2 linked regions of the Oryzias latipes genome follow. The protein of the gene in region 1 purifies or fractionates together with the protein of each later gene. This does not show direct contact. Links are inferred from orthologs where the notes say so. Each region holds a gene or a part of one and is shown in the gene's direction. Other genes may lie near its edges.

What was found. The genes of interacting proteins can lie anywhere in the genome.
Region 2: the proteins of plk1 (region 1) and bora purify together in Homo sapiens (affinity purification with mass spectrometry; 12 studies listed by BioGRID and IntAct, counting the BioPlex papers as one, with this or other methods). This does not show direct contact. The link is inferred for Oryzias latipes from reciprocal best matches to the Homo sapiens genes PLK1 and BORA.

Annotation. Positions count from the first base shown.
Region 1 is NC_019859.2:22,726,237-22,730,602, reverse strand, and holds the start of plk1 (serine/threonine-protein kinase PLK1), read left to right. Parts: upstream 1-1,435; 5' UTR 1,436-1,837; coding exon 1,838-2,200; intron 2,201-2,545; coding exon 2,546-2,714; intron 2,715-2,899; coding exon 2,900-3,044; intron 3,045-3,132; coding exon 3,133-3,226; intron 3,227-3,316; coding exon 3,317-3,542; intron 3,543-3,648; coding exon 3,649-3,691; intron 3,692-3,766; coding exon 3,767-3,864; intron 3,865-3,952; coding exon 3,953-4,030; intron 4,031-4,117; coding exon 4,118-4,272; intron 4,273-4,366. UniProt on the Homo sapiens protein: Serine/threonine-protein kinase that performs several important functions throughout M phase of the cell cycle, including the regulation of centrosome maturation and spindle assembly, the removal of cohesins from chromosome arms, the inactivation of anaphase-promoting complex/cyclosome (APC/C) inhibitors, and the regulation of mitotic exit and cytokinesis.
Region 2 is NC_019873.2:18,607,757-18,612,113, forward strand, and holds the start of bora (protein aurora borealis), read left to right. Parts: upstream 1-1,421; 5' UTR 1,422-1,542; intron 1,543-1,769; 5' UTR 1,770-1,774; coding exon 1,775-1,924; intron 1,925-2,084; coding exon 2,085-2,191; intron 2,192-2,721; coding exon 2,722-2,767; intron 2,768-2,872; coding exon 2,873-2,951; intron 2,952-3,053; coding exon 3,054-3,098; intron 3,099-3,216; coding exon 3,217-3,273; intron 3,274-3,347; coding exon 3,348-3,619; intron 3,620-3,802; coding exon 3,803-3,965; intron 3,966-4,052; coding exon 4,053-4,357. Other genes in the region: mzt1 (mitotic-spindle organizing protein 1), read right to left, coding at 835-980, 1,086-1,137. UniProt on the Homo sapiens protein: Required for the activation of AURKA at the onset of mitosis.

The DNA of each region.
Region 1 (4,366 bases):
AAGTAATGCTACCTCCAAACTACTGAACTGTATTCCTTTACAACCTCTGATGGTTTATAAACGGTGTGTTTGTAGCCTTAGGATGCACCGGTGCAAGCAAGTCCCCGCAGTCTTCAGGTAAGCATCCCCTCAACAAGCTGTGTTTTGAGTTAGTGTCCCATAACCATTCCCCCTTTACACTCTTAACCCAAATTAATTTACCACAAAATGTTGATCAGCCAGCAACCAGCAATCTATTAACTGGTTACCCCAACTACCATGCAGTGGTGGATAAAGAAAAAAAGAAATGAAAACCTTAGGGGAAAAACAACTTTTTTTTTTTTTTTTAGCTTGGCATGTTGAAACCAAACAGTACAGTCAATATCCAAATGTAAAAAATTGGGAATCTTCATGTATTCTGGAGTTATTATTTAAGTATAGGCATCAACAGGTTAACCATCATGATCAGAAAGTGAAAGTCCTTAATTTCATCATGTTAACATCTTGTCAAATAAACAATAATCTTGGTATCACAAAAACGATGTGACTTTTTTTTAGTGTGGCAAGACAGATTAAACCATTACTGCAGGTTTACTTTCTCATATTGCTTTTGTTACACTATATTTTACTGCTTCTCACCATTTTATGCTTTCCAGCATAAATAATCTTTCAAGTTAAACCCTGAGGCTTTTTTGCTCAAAATCCTTTTTGAATTTCAACCAATCTAGAGTGAAAAATATCCTCCTCACTACCGGCAATAAAAACTTGTCCCCATAGTGGACATTTCTAGACCTGAAAATTATTCAACCACTGCAATTACTGAATGAACTCCTTTTGGTATCTACAGAGGGCATTTGTGGCTTTTCAATGATTACAATGATACACTTAGAATGCCGATAGCACTGTCTGAGAATTTGGTTTGAAACAGTATTTAATGGTTGTTCTAACAGAGTAGAAATTAAAAGAAAACATGAGAAGAAAGCAAACACTCACATGTTTCTCAATTTATGAAAAGTTGAAAGTTTTTCAAGGAAGTGTGGCGCAAGATGAGTGTACACAGTCAGCATGGCAATCAATAAAAATAAAAGTGTATAACCTGAACCAACAATGTCTGTCAATAAAAATCCATCCAAAAAGTGAAAATGACAAATTCATAAAAAACTCATAGTCTAACAAAGATTAAATAAACTTCATATGATCCTCTGCATTCATGTAATATTAGTGTTCAACTAATAACATGAACCTAAATGATCGATATTGGATCAGGAGTGGCCATAATTCGGATAACGCTAATAACAAAACACTTTCGAAATTAAATCCTTTTCCCGACTACATTTCCCATCCGTCTTTCTCGAGGAAACAAAAACAGCCTTTCAGCCAATCAGATTGTTGGAGGCCTTCTACTCTACTCCTGATTGGCTATTTTTGTACACATGTTCCCAAGATGCTTTGCTGTGACGCTGTGGAATTCAAATCTAGCAGACCAATCAACGATCGCCAAAACGACCGAGCCAGCATTTTAAATTTGTACGAGACACTTGTTATCGAAAAGGCAGAACGGGACAAGGCAACCGCTGCCGGGGAAGTCTGCGCAAGAATTCTGCCTCCGGTTTTTTTTTTAATTAATTTATTTAATCTTGGGACCTGTCGGCCTTTAAATGTTAGTCAACGTTTGCGGTTTAGATCGTTTGTTAGTATTTGCTGTAAATTGAGGCGTAGAAAAAGTTAGCTTCGAAGGCTAAACTAACGTCGGTTGAGTTGGAGGGTTAAACAACACTTTAGCCCTTGTTTAATAACTTTTGCGTTTCGACTTCTTTGGAGTTTTATTAACGCGGAAAGAGCACTTTTAAAGTACACCATGAGTGCTGCTATCGCAAAGCCGGCGCAGCCGTCCGGACACGTCGACCCAAAATCGGCTCCTCTGAAAGAAATCCCAGAGGTTTTGGTGGATCCCCGCACCCTGAGGAGATACTCCAAGGGCAGGTTCCTCGGCAAGGGGGGCTTCGCCAAATGCTTCGAAATTACAGACATGGAGACCAAGCAGGTTTTCGCTGGCAAAATAGTGCCCAAGTCGTTGATCCTGAAGCAGCACCAAAGGGAGAAGATGAGCTCGGAAATCTCCATTCACAAGAGCCTCAATCATGCTAACATCGTGGGCTTCCACGGCTTCTTTGAGGACGACGACTTTGTCTATGTGGTCCTGGAGATCTGCAGGAGAAGGGTGAGGATTTTGGGAACTCTAAATGAAAATACATGAAGGCCAACGGTTAACAATGTGGCCTCTTCCGTTACCCCCCCCCCCCCCCCTCCTTTGGCATAGTGCTGGGAGACTCAAATCCCCTGATCACTGCTTTAAATCACTGTTACTTATCCTAAACCAGTAACTTTTTGTAATTTAAAACTATAGAGATATCTAAATTCTTTTTCCCCTTTGTGTTGTTCCACGTGTTGTTTTTAACACTTCTTGAGGTGCCACTTCACTTCATCCAGCTTGTTCATGCTCTCCCAGCCTCCATTTTCCTCCACTGAGTTCAGCCGCTCACCAGAACTGTTGTCCTTTTTCAAGTCCCTGTTGGAGTTGCACAAGCGCAGGAAGGCGGTCACGGAGCCGGAGGCTCGCTACTACATGACCCAGCTGCTGAAAGGGGTCCATTATCTGCACAGCAACAAGGTCATCCACAGAGACCTGAAACTGGGGAACATCTTCCTCAACGACGACATGGAAGTCAAGATAGGTATGGAGAGCAGGAAACCTGTCGGTGTAGTGACAAAGAAACGGGCACACCCATGTTCTTGATATGCTCCCATAACTTCCTTGTTGAGAACTTCCAGCTCCAATTTGTTAACACCCATATTTGGCTTCTTAATATCCTTTACTCAGATTAAACGCTGATCATTTCTTTCTTTCCTTTTTTGCTAGGTGACTTTGGTTTGGCCACAAAGATTGAGTTTGATGGTGAACGGAAGAAGACCTTGTGTGGAACGCCCAACTATATCGCTCCGGAAGTGCTGTGCAAGAAAGGCCACAGCTATGAAGTGGATGTCTGGTCACTTGGGTGCATATTGTAAGTGTGTAAACCCACAGTGGAGTGGGGAAGAGTGTCATTCCACAGGATTCTGGATACTCAACTTCCTTCCTGTATCCTCTCATAGGTACACTTTGTTAGTCGGCAAGCCTCCGTTTGAAACCTCATGCCTGAAAGACACATACAACCGGATCAAGAAGAACAATTACACCATCCCCTGGGTGAGAAGAGCTGACGTTAATCCCTAAATGTACGTAATAGTTGGTGAAAGAAAATCTTAAGTTTACCGTCACTTCACTTGAATGCTGCAGCAAATCAACCCGTCAGCCTCGGCTCTCATCAAGAGGATGCTGCATGCCGATCCTGCCCAGAGGCCCACCATCACTGACCTGCAGACGGATGAGTTCTTCACATCGGGATACGTCCCCCTGCGGCTGCCCACCACTTGTCTCACTGTGCCCCCGCGGTTCTCCATTGCCCCCTCCATGGCTGCAGAGCTCAGCCAGAGGCGCCCCCTGACTGCCATAAACAACAAAGGTAACAAACCCAACAATTGCCCAAAACTGGTGCACTGATAATGAAAGTCTGCAGTTAATCAACAGTGATATTGATGGAGGTTTTTTTTATATATTTTTTTTCTCAGCCGGCACAGAGAAGGTGGACATGAAAGACGAGCCTGCTCCACTGTGAGACATCACACTAAGGTCTAAAACATGCGTCGTAGTTTGATCAAAAATGATAAATGGGAATTTTGTGTGCAGAGAGGCGGAGCCAGAAGAATGTTACCTGAAGGACATGCTGCAGCAGCTCAACAGCATCATCTCTGCCAAGCCTTCAGAGAAGGCGGTCATTCGGCAAGGTGAGAGCAGCCGCCTGCAGGAACTACCTAAACTTTCTGCAGTTTTAGTCAGTCCTTCTTACAGAAAACCCCTTGTCTTTGATTTCAGAGGAAGCAGAGGATCCTGCGTGTATTCCCATCTTTTGGATCAGTAAATGGGTCGACTACTCTGACAAATATGGATTAGGTAAATTCTAAATCTTAGGACAGGTTTGCCTTTTATTGTCTTGCTTTTAATGGAGAATTAAGGGTGTGCTGTAAATTGCTTTCGCAGGATACCAGCTTTGTGACAACAGTGTTGGTGTTCTATTCAACGATTTCACCCGACTCATCATGTATGCTGATGGCGACAGTCTGCAGTACATTGACAAGAAGGCTGCTGAGTCCTATTTAAGCGTTCGCTCATTCCCTGCTTCTCTCAACAAAAAGGTTGGTGGATGAAGCTAATTCTGTTTGTTGCTTTGTTCAGGTAATTCTGAAAGAAGACAGAATAACCTGTCTTCTTTCACGTTATTGTTTTTTT
Region 2 (4,357 bases), on another chromosome or scaffold:
AATATTCTAAAGAGAAAAAAAAATCAAGTTTAAGGATTCACTAGTATGTGGGCATCAATCAAACAACTTGTGTTAAATAAAAGTCAAAATACTGAAATACTTTAATACCACAGCTCTATTTTCTAATGATGGGACGAGCGACACCTTGTTTACACTCTCCCGCTAACTGAGTCCCTGACAACCCCAAGCTCACACTAGCGGTGCAACAAATATAGTGAACAATATTTGAGCCATCCACCTGAACAGCTTTGATCCAGATTCCAGCTCAGACGAGGAAAACAAAAATGTACATAAATTTATTCATCTGCCAGTGGAGGCATCAGACTAGAGCAGAGCAGGGAGTTTGGCCTAATGGCTGTTGTTTCTATGTCACAACTGCAAGTTTTTCAAACTGCATTATTTGACTTCTCCGGTTTCTTAATTAAGAAATAATCAAAAATGCTGTTTTAATGTTAATTTTCTATTATATGTAATCAATCATAAAAAAGTGCTACAAGAACATGTTAAAAACACCAAAAATGCCGTTCTTATTTTATTTACCTGCAATGATTTCAGAATTACTGCAGGGGTCACTAGAGAGGGAGCAACACTATGTCAGAGTCAACAGTTTGGGAGATGTGTCAAACTCATTAAAGCATCATCAACCCATCACTACTATTTACACTGATATGATGTTTATCATTACAGACTTTAATGTAAAAATAAAAAAACAATGACACTCAAGCTTAACAAATGGTTTCCAAATGGTTATAGAACTCGCGATAACACTAAAAGAAGAAAAAAACACGGACATAAGTTTTGGTCTGTAATGAGATGTGGTAGTTTCTCTTCTACCTTCAGAGACTCTGAAGCTTTTCGGAGCTCCTTGATGACAGCAGACAGAGCTTCAGGGTTGATGCCTTGCTCACACAGCCTCACACAAATGGACAAGGACTCCATATCCAAACCAGTGTTTAGCAGTCTTGAAATCTCTAGCAGAACTGTTCAGGAAAAGCGAAAAGTTTAAAATTAATAGAATGATTTAATGATAATCTTGAAATTCTTATTAAATATGCTAATATGTGCACACAAGTTAAAATATTTACCGTCCATAGTCTCCCGGACTGCGTTCAGGTTAGCATTAGCTGCACTTGCCATTACGATGACGCTAGTTAGCTAGCTAGAACTTGCTAGCAGATACACAACAGCTTATATGTTACCCTGATAAAACGTTGATGAAAACAATTCAATTAAACAACACGGCCGCGTTTAAAATATCTCATATTTGCTTTACTCGGATTCTGACATACGATAAAATGCCGCATTAGCATTTAGCTTGCATCAAAGTTGATGCACCGTCCGCAAACTAGCAGCGGAAATGACGACACAGATGTCGCTATTGGTCCTCAACAACTTTCTGTAACGATTCTATTGGTTGGCTGGCTCCGTGGACGAAATTGAAATAAACGTTTGAATTGTTCTCTTCCTAATACCACTGTGGAGTCGACAGGGGAAGACTTTCTCTTGATTTAGTCGCTTTACAGTCCAAGTCAGATAAAACATGTAAGTACCAGGGGCGGAAAACAATTACATAGTCAGTGTCGGTAAGGATTAAATTATGGGTGTTATGTTGTTTTTGAACTGATTTTAAAACTGTTGTTTTCCTTGCAAGCTAACATCACAGCTAGCTAACGGATCGAGTAAAAAAAATACATGTTGGTTTACACTTAAAATGTTTTTAAGTGTACTTTGTAATACATTTTCTTTATAACTTGAATTTGAATTTTCAGCCAGGATGGGGGACCGTATCGAGCTAGAGATAACTCCAGAGACTCCGGGCAGGCCTTCCATAAGAAACCCCTTTGAGAGTCCAAATGATTACCACCATCTCCGGGAACCCTTGGTTCCAAGCCCATCTGTTTTTAAATCCAAGTCCTGTAAAGCTGTAAGTTTAATTTCTTACCCACAACTTATACTAAAATTGAATATTATTTACACAGTCAAGCTGAAACCGGTTTTTGCAAGTGTGTTTTGCAATTTTTACTTCGAGAAATGTGTCTTAAGGCTGCTGTGTAGTTTTGTCTCATATCTTGTCTTTTCTGTAGACCCCTCCAAGATTTAACTGGTCTATTGATGAAATGGCCAGCCTTCTCCCAGTGCACATAGACCCAGAAGAAATCCAGCGACAGTCTTTTTACCTCAGCCAGACAAGGTGTGTCCTGAATCCCTTATTTTGTTAACAGTGGCAAATCTTTGATTGCATTCCAGTCTTAAATATTTGGCAAATTACAAACTGTAATTAAACTAAGGCTGCACGATATCAGGAAAACTCGCGATATTGGTGATCAATATTGCGATGACGATGTGACTTACGATACATGAACCCAAAGTAAAACATGAAACAACTAATACATCTTTTTCATTTCACTGCAACAGTTTTATCAAAATAAAAGTCAGTATAACTTGATTTATACTCCAAATGATCTTTTACCTGATAGGAGGGAAGCATCTAACATAAAAGGGCTCCATCCAATTAGTCAAAAGCTTAACAGGCTATTTTGAATTTGAAACACTTCAAGCTGCCATAAGATTGTTTAGGCATGTGTGTAAACATTTATGGTATGATTTATTGCACTGTCTTCTGCGATACGCATACTGCACAGGCTGATAACAAGATGGCGATAGCTCTGTGATTTATTGTGCAGATCTAAATACCTAAATTATTTTCTTATTATATTTCAGGACCGATTCTGATGTTGAAGAAAAATTTCAGAGTGCTATTGAGCAGGTTTTGGACTTTAAAAGCAATCTTTTTTTAAAATTGCAATAATTCAGTAGAAGTCTTGTTGACAATTTACTGATTTACTCATGTCTTTTGTCTTGCTGAATAAAGTTTTTTACCAAAGGAGCCATAGTGCCTTCTCCTTGGGCAGCAGCAGAAACTCGCAGAGCCCCTCATATTTATAAGAAAAGTAAGATATCCAACTGTTTGGAATAATAACTTTCAAGTATTCCTTGTTTTTAGTAATATTAATGTGTATTTAACCATTTGTTGTTTTGTCTTGTTGTTTTAGGTCCCTTGTCTGAAACAGCTGCAGAACAGACAGAAAAAATCTCAGGTTGGTGCATGTTCGTATTAAAAAAAAAGAAAAAAAGAAGGGATCTAAAATTATTAGAATTTGTTAAATTTGTTCATTTGCTTTAGTTTTCCATAAACTGCATCTTTTTATCTTACAGTTGGTTGCCAGACGGTCCTTTCGCTGCCTTCAACATTTGATTTGGAAAAACTACTTGGTAAGCTTCTGTTAAATGTAAGAGGAGAATCATTGAAATGAAAGTTTTAAGTCACATTTCTTTCTTATTCTTAGGAGAATATTACCGTAACGATGAGGCTTGTGATGCAGTGCAGGAGAGCCTCAGTTCCTCCTCCTTGAGGAGAAAACTCTTTCTCGATGGACAGTTTAGCTACAGCAGCTCTGACAGCTCCACTCCACCGAGTCCAGAAAGAGCTCATGTCCGAGCTGAGAGGCTTCCTACCAAAAGACAAGGAAGCGGACCGAGACCCATGTGCTCTGAGGGAGAAAATCCAGTTTTTTCTTCTCCTTTGTCATGCGGGATCTCTGCCCCGACTCCTTCTACTGTAAGTTTCAGTGTGTCAAAAAATAGAGAATTGGGTTGCCAGGTATTTTTTTTTTAAATGGGTCATAGGATAGAAATCATGTAAAGCTGTAAAAAATGAGTATCTTTTGCCCCTTTAAATGTTTGCATAAAAATAGATGAAGACATGCATGACTAAAATTAGCTTTACTTCTCTTAAACGAAGGGCCAGTTCTCCTCTAGTCCTATCCAACATGGCTGCATCAGGGACTGTAGCCTTGGCAGTATTGGCAGCCCTCTGTTTCCTGATAGATCATCTCCTGCTGGCCATGGTTCCCCAACAATCTCTCCAATTCTTGCTGATTTTGCACACACTCCTGTAGGCTCAGGTAGAGCATTTCACTGTTTTAAAAATGTAAATATTGCTGGATTATATTTGGCTTTTTATCCTTAATCTGTGCCTGTTCTCGTGTTAGTTGAAAGAAAACAGCGATGCAACGTGACCCCACTGTCTATTCCCCTGGATGTAGATGTCAGCTCCTGCAACGAGAGTCCCTTTGTTGAAGGTTGCTCTCCAATTCGTAGCTGCTCCCCACACCAGCTCCAACATCACAAGGAGCCTCCGCGCGTCTCCAGAACCAAACCTAGAGTCCGTGTCTGGGCTTCCCCTCCACTCATTTCTCCAATTCTCAACCCAAAGCTGCAAGACAGTCAAGAGCCAGAAGAACACCAACATTCAGACTCTCCATCTTTTCTTCCCTCTATGGATTTTGATCCATCC